Yarrowia lipolytica: one gene and its partner. The protein of the gene in region 1 interacts with the protein of each later gene in a pairwise test. Links are inferred from orthologs where the notes say so. Each region holds a gene or a part of one and is shown on either strand. Other genes may lie near its edges.

What was found.
Region 2: the proteins of YALI1_F26012g (region 1) and YALI1_D35945g interact in a two-hybrid assay, tested with the Saccharomyces cerevisiae proteins (2 studies listed by BioGRID). The link is inferred for Yarrowia lipolytica from reciprocal best matches to the Saccharomyces cerevisiae genes PEX29 and PEX30.

What each region holds. Positions count from the first base shown.
Region 1 is NC_090775.1:2,599,583-2,603,734, reverse strand, and holds YALI1_F26012g (uncharacterized protein), read right to left. Parts: upstream 2,440-4,152; coding exon 634-2,439; downstream 1-633. Other genes in the region: YALI1_F26039g (uncharacterized protein), read left to right, coding at 1-376; YALI1_F25999g (uncharacterized protein), read left to right, coding at 3,684-3,693, 3,744-4,152. UniProt on the Saccharomyces cerevisiae protein: Involved in the regulation of peroxisome number, size and distribution.
Region 2 is NC_090773.1:3,592,619-3,596,110, reverse strand, and holds YALI1_D35945g (uncharacterized protein), read left to right. Parts: upstream 1-1,706; coding exon 1,707-2,957; downstream 2,958-3,492. Other genes in the region: YALI1_D35965g (uncharacterized protein), read left to right, coding at 1-606; YALI1_D35911g (uncharacterized protein), read right to left, coding at 3,247-3,492.

The DNA.
Region 1 (4,152 bases):
CGACTGTTGCGTTCTGGTCTACGATGTCAACAACTCCAAGAGTTTTGATGCCCTGACTCTGTGGCGAGATGAGTTCCTTCTCCTTGCCAACCCCCGAGACCCAGAAAACTTTCCTTTTGTGGTGATCGGTAACAAGGTGGATGTGGAGGAGAGCAAGCGGGCAGTTTCCGCCAAGCGAGCCCAGGCCTTCTGCAAGGCAACCGGCAACATTCCCTATTTTGAGACCAGTGCCAAGGAGGACACTGGTGTAGACCAGGCTTTCGAGACCGTTGCTCGAAACGCCATGGCACAGGTGGACTCAGAGGACTACACGGACGATTTCGCCGACACCATCAACATCCATCTGGATAATGAGCAGTCCAACTGTGCTTGTTAAGAAGTATTTATCGCAGGGGCACGTATGTTAATATATTAGAGGTTAGGATGGGATTTTGTGTACGGTAGCTAGATGAGCTGTAGACGACGTTCATGGCTCCTTCGGTTTAACCACTGTACACTGTGCAACGGACAAGGTGGTTACAAGAGCCTACCCTACTCGTACCATACTTGTTCAGGAAGAACTTGTCACTTCCAATTACATATGGCTGAATAATAAATAATGCAATAACTTATATGATCTTATTGTTTTGCGGCTCAATCGTGCTCACGCCGTTCTCCGACACGACCAACAACATTGGACTTCAGATACGACTTTCGCTTGCACAGACTGGTCCACCGTCTTCTTCTCCAAGTACCCCTGAATCCGTCGGGAAGAATGTCATAGACCCACTTTTCGTCCTGGTCAATCTCGAGGTACTTGCGCCAGGCACCCCACCAAGCTACCCACTGTTCAGGCATGTAGTCCATTTCCCAATCGGACGACCGCGGTAGAGAAGATAGCATATCTCTCTCAGGGACCTCCAGGAAGGTCCATCCTGTAGGAGGTAGAACTTCCTCTAACGAATAAACTCCTGGGGGCGCAGGGATCTGATGAAGAGAACTAACCCCGTAGGTTGCCATAGACACCTCCTCTTCAATGTTTCTGATGGCCTCGCCCATGGTCGTTGGCGGGGGCGAAAAGGTCCTGTCTGGAATACCATTTGTGTGACGGAACTGAGGTAGGATTCGAGATTCAGAGTCAACAGATCCAGCTGAAGCGGTAGGGCTCAAACCCAAGTCGTCAGGATCAGCATAGTAATTGGGCTCATGAAGCATGGACGGAATGTGAGGATGGGCAACATAAGTAGCCGTCTTCCATTGTCTCGTGTGAACATCCAGTTCTTGCAGCTCAAATACCTCTATCACTCTCACATCATCGGCGGTATGGTACAGGAACTCGTCTCTTGCTAGTTCATCAATCACCTCCTTTACAGCCTCAGGTGTGAACTTCTCCCGGGTCTCGTGAGGGAGCTTCTTGTACTCTCTCAGGACGATTCTATGCAGCATCGGGTTAAGCAGTAGAATGACAGCCCATCCAAAGACAAAGAAGAAGAAGCGCCATGGCATGATACGGAGAATGGTATCTCCGTATACATAAAAGATAGCTACCCCAAGCATTCCAACAAAGTAGATGGCAGCACTGAGTGATTCATCTCCAGCAAAGTAGATCAAGTGTGCCAGAATGCCAGCAACGATATCATAAGTGCGAATGAAGTCGGTCATCGCATTTTGTGTGTCCACCATGTTGATGTAAAAGTCTCTGGAAAACTCGGGAGCAGGAGCAGGAATCTTGGGTTCAATGGTAGGCCATTGGGTGGTCAAATAATTCTCCTGGACGTCGTAGTGTCTGGAGGCGTACGCGGGAACCATGACACAGAACATGATGTATGCCAATGGGGTGATGAACAGCAGTCGGGGATGCAAACAGATGAAAGAGTAGATGGCCATAACTCCTAGCGTAAAAGACGGTCTCTTCCACATTAGAATCTCCAGCACGGTATAGTAGGTTTCGTAGATGATGGTGAACCGCGACGTGACGCCCCTGAAGTTCTTTCCCATTAGATTCATACTAAAGGGGTCCTGGCCCTGCTGGATTCTGACTCTCTTGGCCACTGCAGCTGATTTAGGAGGCAGAGCTAGGGCCAGCATCTTGTCCATGAGTTTGACCGACAATTTAGCATGGGGGTTGATGGGTTCGGGGCCGTCCGTGTCCAGCTCCGAATCGGAGGCGTCGCTCATCACGTTGCCGTCCGAGTCTGCAATTTTTCCTCCTCTTAGTTTCTCAGCGGACACATCATCTGTAAGACCCTTATGGTGGCTGTCTGAGTGGTTCTTGGGCGAGCTGTCCAAACTCGAGATATCGCTTTTGGTCGAGCTCCCATTGGCGATATCGCTGTCGTGCGAGTGGACGGGTTGTAATGACAGATTTTGATCATCGTTTTGGTTGTGGAACGCCAGGCTGATGGCTTTGAGATTGCGCTGTGACGATAATGGCTCGGCCAATTCCACTGTCGAGGTCATGATGCAAGATGCGCAGCAGGGCGTGGTACGCTAAGTGATGCCGTTAATATCTCACAAGGTCACTGAGAGAGGTTCACAAACACTGATCCAGCTGAGCCTTGGAGGATGTTGCTGCATCACACATGTATTCCAAAAGCCTACTGTTGACGATTGCTCTTTTACCCTATTTGAGGAGGGGTTAGATAGACCCCAAATGTTGACAAGGGTGCAGCTGGAGAATGAAAGCTGGATATGTTCTCTCTTGAGAATCCAGTGGACCACTTAACCTGACGGAACAAGAGTACCCTCTCCAATGTGAACTTCGGTGAGCTACATGCCGTTTCTCTATTTTTTGGGATTAACTTCAGAAGATGCATGCAGATATACGAACCTGTTCAGCCTGCTTGGATACAGTATCGTACAGTAGCTGGATATTATGACTTGGAGAAGGTCTCTGAAACAAGGACCAGAAGTGGTGGTTTTGGAAGTGGTTTTGGAGGTGGTTTTGAGACCGTTTGCGACACGACCCGGTGCACCAACTGTCACCGAATTACAGGCAAGACTCCAACTTACAGCCTCTGTAATAACGCTATTCTTGCTCTTCCCCCGTATAGATATTTGAAGGCGGAGAGGCATGACACACAAGCTTCAACTGAACTTGACTATCAAGATTCACGCCTCTCTCTCACCCGATAATTGACTTGGGCCACACTTGATGAAAGTGGCCAATACTGCTCATATGCAAGATCCTTTTGTCGTCTTATATGGATCTGAAACTACAAGTACGAGTACACAAGAGTTGATGACGTTCGTTTCACTTTTCCCATTGTATGTTTGGAGGTCATCGAACAATACAGTGGGTAGTGTGTAAACATTGGTATCATTCAATATGTCAGTCTGAACTACAAGAAGCTACAAGTACAAGTAATTACACCGATTAACCCAGTCGATGAAAACCCCAAAGTCAAAGTGGGCTGTTTTCGGGCTGGAAAAGAAATCACCAACTCTCTTGATCCATAGTCTTCAACCATATACATCTTCAGGTATTGTCGTACTTGTGCCTACAACAAGCTCGAAACTCCAGACAAGGAAAGAATGCACTCATGTTAGATCCCCCACATGGCCCAGCTCTTGTTTCCAACCCTAACCCTAGCCTCCTGATTTGACACGCGTCTCCATGACAACCACGCATGTTGATCTGCATAAGCTTGTATACACGCCGGAACATCACGAACAATATCGGTTTTCGATAACAAGTCCAAAAAATGAGCATAAGTGAGTATCCGTTTGATTTTTCTTCTTGTCAGCGACATTTTCTAACCCAGTTCAAATCGACGCTTTGCCCGATTTAATATCGAAGGTCACATGGGGTCCTCAGAAGCATCTGCTTGTGTCTTCCTGGGATACTAAACTGCGTCTGTACTCTGTCAGTCACGACAATTCTCGACAGGTCACAGAGGTGTCTGCATCCAGCCCGATTCTCGACTGTTGTTGGGGGGACAACGGTGTTGCATTCACAGGAGGATTGGCAGGTGTGGTTGAAGCAATAGATCTTCAGGCAGGAGAACTTTTGAGCATAGGACAACAGCATGCAGATGCCATCTCGTCAGTGGTTTGCGATGCCGGCAACAATCTGATTGTGTCGGGTTCGTGGGACAAGAACCTGCAATTCATTGACGCTCGGGGAGGTTTTGGAAACAAGGACAGCTCTATGATGATTCCCACAGCAGGCAA
Region 2 (3,492 bases), on another chromosome or scaffold:
ACAATTAAGACCGACGGAAAGGAGTCCGATCCCTTCGCCATCCTCACAGTCATCAACATGTCCAAACACAAGGACAACAAGAAGGGAGTTATTGCTGCTCTCATTGACTACTTCGTCGCTCGAACACAGGACCTTCCCGAGCTACACAAGCAGATGCGAAAGTTGCTGGGCCCCTCTTCCACCTCCAAGGTTGGTCTCATCATCTCTGAGCGGCTCATCAACATGCCTGTCCAGGTCGTTCCTCCCATGTACAAGATGCTTCTTGATGAGACTAAGGATCAGGACTTTGATTACTTCCTGGTGCTCTCGAAGACTTTCACTGAGGCCGAGACCTCTGTGGACGAGGAGGACGAGCGGCCCTCTAAGAAGAACAAGAAGGGCCCCGGATACAAGCCCGAGACCTACTACTTCCATCCCGAGGATGAGGTTATTCAGGAGAAGAGTACACAGTACGGCTCCTACGCATTTAAGAAGGCTTCCCAAGAGGCTGACTCCAAGCGAGCCTTCCAGGAGTATGGTATCTTCCCTCAGGGTCACTTGATGCTTTTCAAGGCCAAGGATCTGGAGGCCATTGTGGCCAAGATGGAGGTTGAGTTTGCCCCTTAAACAGGGTCCAAGTACCACTACAAATACGAGTACGAGTACGAGTATCTTAAAGATAACTTCATTCATGTTGCAGTGCTACAGTATGTACAATCGCGAGAGCACAGATAGATTGGTCCCCCATAGCCAGATTGGAGAACGATGTAAAAGGTGACTGTGGCAGCTTACTACCGCTTGGTACGAGTAGTAGGACACTTTTGGGATGGCCAATAACTAGAATTTAGAAGTATTAATGTATTTCGTGACTATAAAAACAAATTTATGATACAACCAGTTTCCTTGTGGCTTCCCTTGAATTGTGCACATCCTTTACTCTTTCAACTACAACACAACGTATACGCTTACAGTAGCTGATTTGCTCAAGACATTCGCCACCCAGCTTCTTTGCATACATCTGTGTGTGGACCAAGTAACACCGAAAGACTACCACGCTAAAGCCTGATCTGACGGCTGACTAAGCCATCAAAGTGATTATACGCCCAAACCCCACCGATATCATCAAGGTTCACAAAATGACTTCTCCGGGTTTGTGCCAAGGGCCAAATTGTAAGGTAATTTTGCACATTCAGTCAGGGCCTGCAGATAGTATGCGGTGTGGGGTGAGAATGAGAGCGACTTCTGTTAACTGTGGCAATTGTTTACACAAACTGAGGGCCAATTGATCTGATGCTGAATGTGGTAAGGGCAGACAATACTTTCAAGTCAACAAGTTATGAAGGAAATACCTTCCCGACGCGCCTGCCAACTTCTTTCGGATATCGCGCATGGGTAGAGAACTTCTTGGGTGGAAAATCTAGCCGAGGTCGCCCGAGGTGTACAACGGTCCCAGACGCCACAGACAGTCTTGAAATTCAACAAAAAGGGGTCTTGATCTAAAAAGTGCTATAGGGTAGTGGGGTGTCTAACTTGTGTACCAACAGTTTAATTGCCATCTCGTGGTGGTCATCCCATCCTACAGTACTGTAGTGCGTATTGTACCCCACAGTGTGAAAGTTTGTGAGCATCATGCAAGCGTGCTCATAGCAACATCACCACCCAAACCCCATTCGACCAAGCACACTACGCCTGTGAGCACATTACAATCACAGCGGCAAACAGCAAAAATGTCGGATAAGGAGAAGAAAAAGAGCAGTGCGACGCACGCGGCCTTCCCTCCCTCAACGGCCTCGCAGCCTCAATCAATGAGTCCCCTGCTGTCTTCCACTCCCCCAACAGTCACCAAGGCACTAGCTCAAGCATACCCATACATTCTGGCCAGCGACAAGGTGCTGGGTCTGCTGACATGGACTGAGGATGATCAATGGCAGAGCTTTCTGTTGGTGGCCGTCTACGTGACCGTGGTCATGTACTACGAATACTTGGTCATCTACTGTGGTCACATTCTTGCCGTGGGCTTCATCTGGGCCTTTGTGTACATTCGACAAAGTGTGGAGAGACGGCAAACATCGGAGCCCTCTCTGGATGCAATTGTGCACACGCTGACCAATGTCACCACCAAGGCAAATCTTCTGCTGCTTCCAATCACCTCTCTGAGCCTGACCCCCAGAGATGTGACCCGATTGGCATTCACCACGCTCTTCCTATCGCCTCTGTATATGTTTGGTGCCTACTTTTTCCTTGGACCCCGAAAGTTCCTGCTCACTACCGGCGTCTTCTTCCTCACCTACCATTCCATGGCTGCCCGAGTCACACGAGCAGTCATCTGGAAGTCCAAGGCCATTAGACTGGTCACCTTCTACCTCACTGGACTCGACTTTTCCAACACAAAGCGAAACCTGGGCGCCTTTGGATTCACCCAATCGCCCCTGTCGGTGCAGTCCAAGGACGGAAAGCCCGTGCGGTTCACCTACGTACTGTATGAGAACCAACGACGATGGCTCGGTATTGGCTGGACCGCCAACCTTCTGGCCTACGAGCGAACTCCTTGGACCGACGAGTTCCTCAACGAGGTTACTCCTCCTTCTGAGTTCAAGCTGCCCGATACAGAGGGCACCGGCATGAAGTGGCAGTGGGTCGATCCTACTTGGCGATTGGACTGTACCAACGATGGCGCCCTGGTCATTATTGGCAACAAGGCTTTGAGCACGCCCGATCCTTCTCCCTCCGAGGGATGGATCTACTATGACAACACATGGAAGCGACCTACTGCAGACGACTCTTTTAGCAAGTACACCCGACGACGACGATGGGTGCGAACTGCTGAGCTCATCACCGTCACCAAGCCCACTGATGTGGTGGTCACTGTCGAGGAGGATGGTGTGACTGACGCTGCTGGAGATGTGGAGATCATCACCACCGAGACCGAGGAGAAGGTGCGAAGACGAAAGGGCATTAGATTCGAGGAGGACTCTTAAGAGATAATTAAATATATGAATGTATCATTTTTTTACGCGATTGCGTGTAAGAGAGGCGGCTATATGAGCTTGTTCACGTAATTCAAGGGTGTGTCTGTGTGTACTGTATACAATTACCGCCGTCTGCAGTAGGTATTGTATGCGCACACACACAGTAACGGTATGTGTACAGTGGCTACTTACTTGTACAGTACTTATACTTGTACAAGCGCCACATTAGTAGAATAATTCGTGCTTAGAACTACGTGTACTATTTTTCTTCTTTTTTGATTTTTTTTTGTTATTTGATTTAGATATGGGACCAAGGATCGATGGCAATGACGGTTCCGAATTTCTCGTTGCCAATGAAAAAAACCTTGTATTCATAGCCCCACTCGTCCAGCCAGGCCTTCACCTCCTTGGTCAACATGTCTGTTTTGGAAACAACATGGTAACCCACACCAGAGATCGCATACACCAGCTTTTTATTCTTTCTGTACTGCTCCTCGACTCCCAGAAGAATGTTCTCCAGATGCATGACACTGGTATCAAGCTC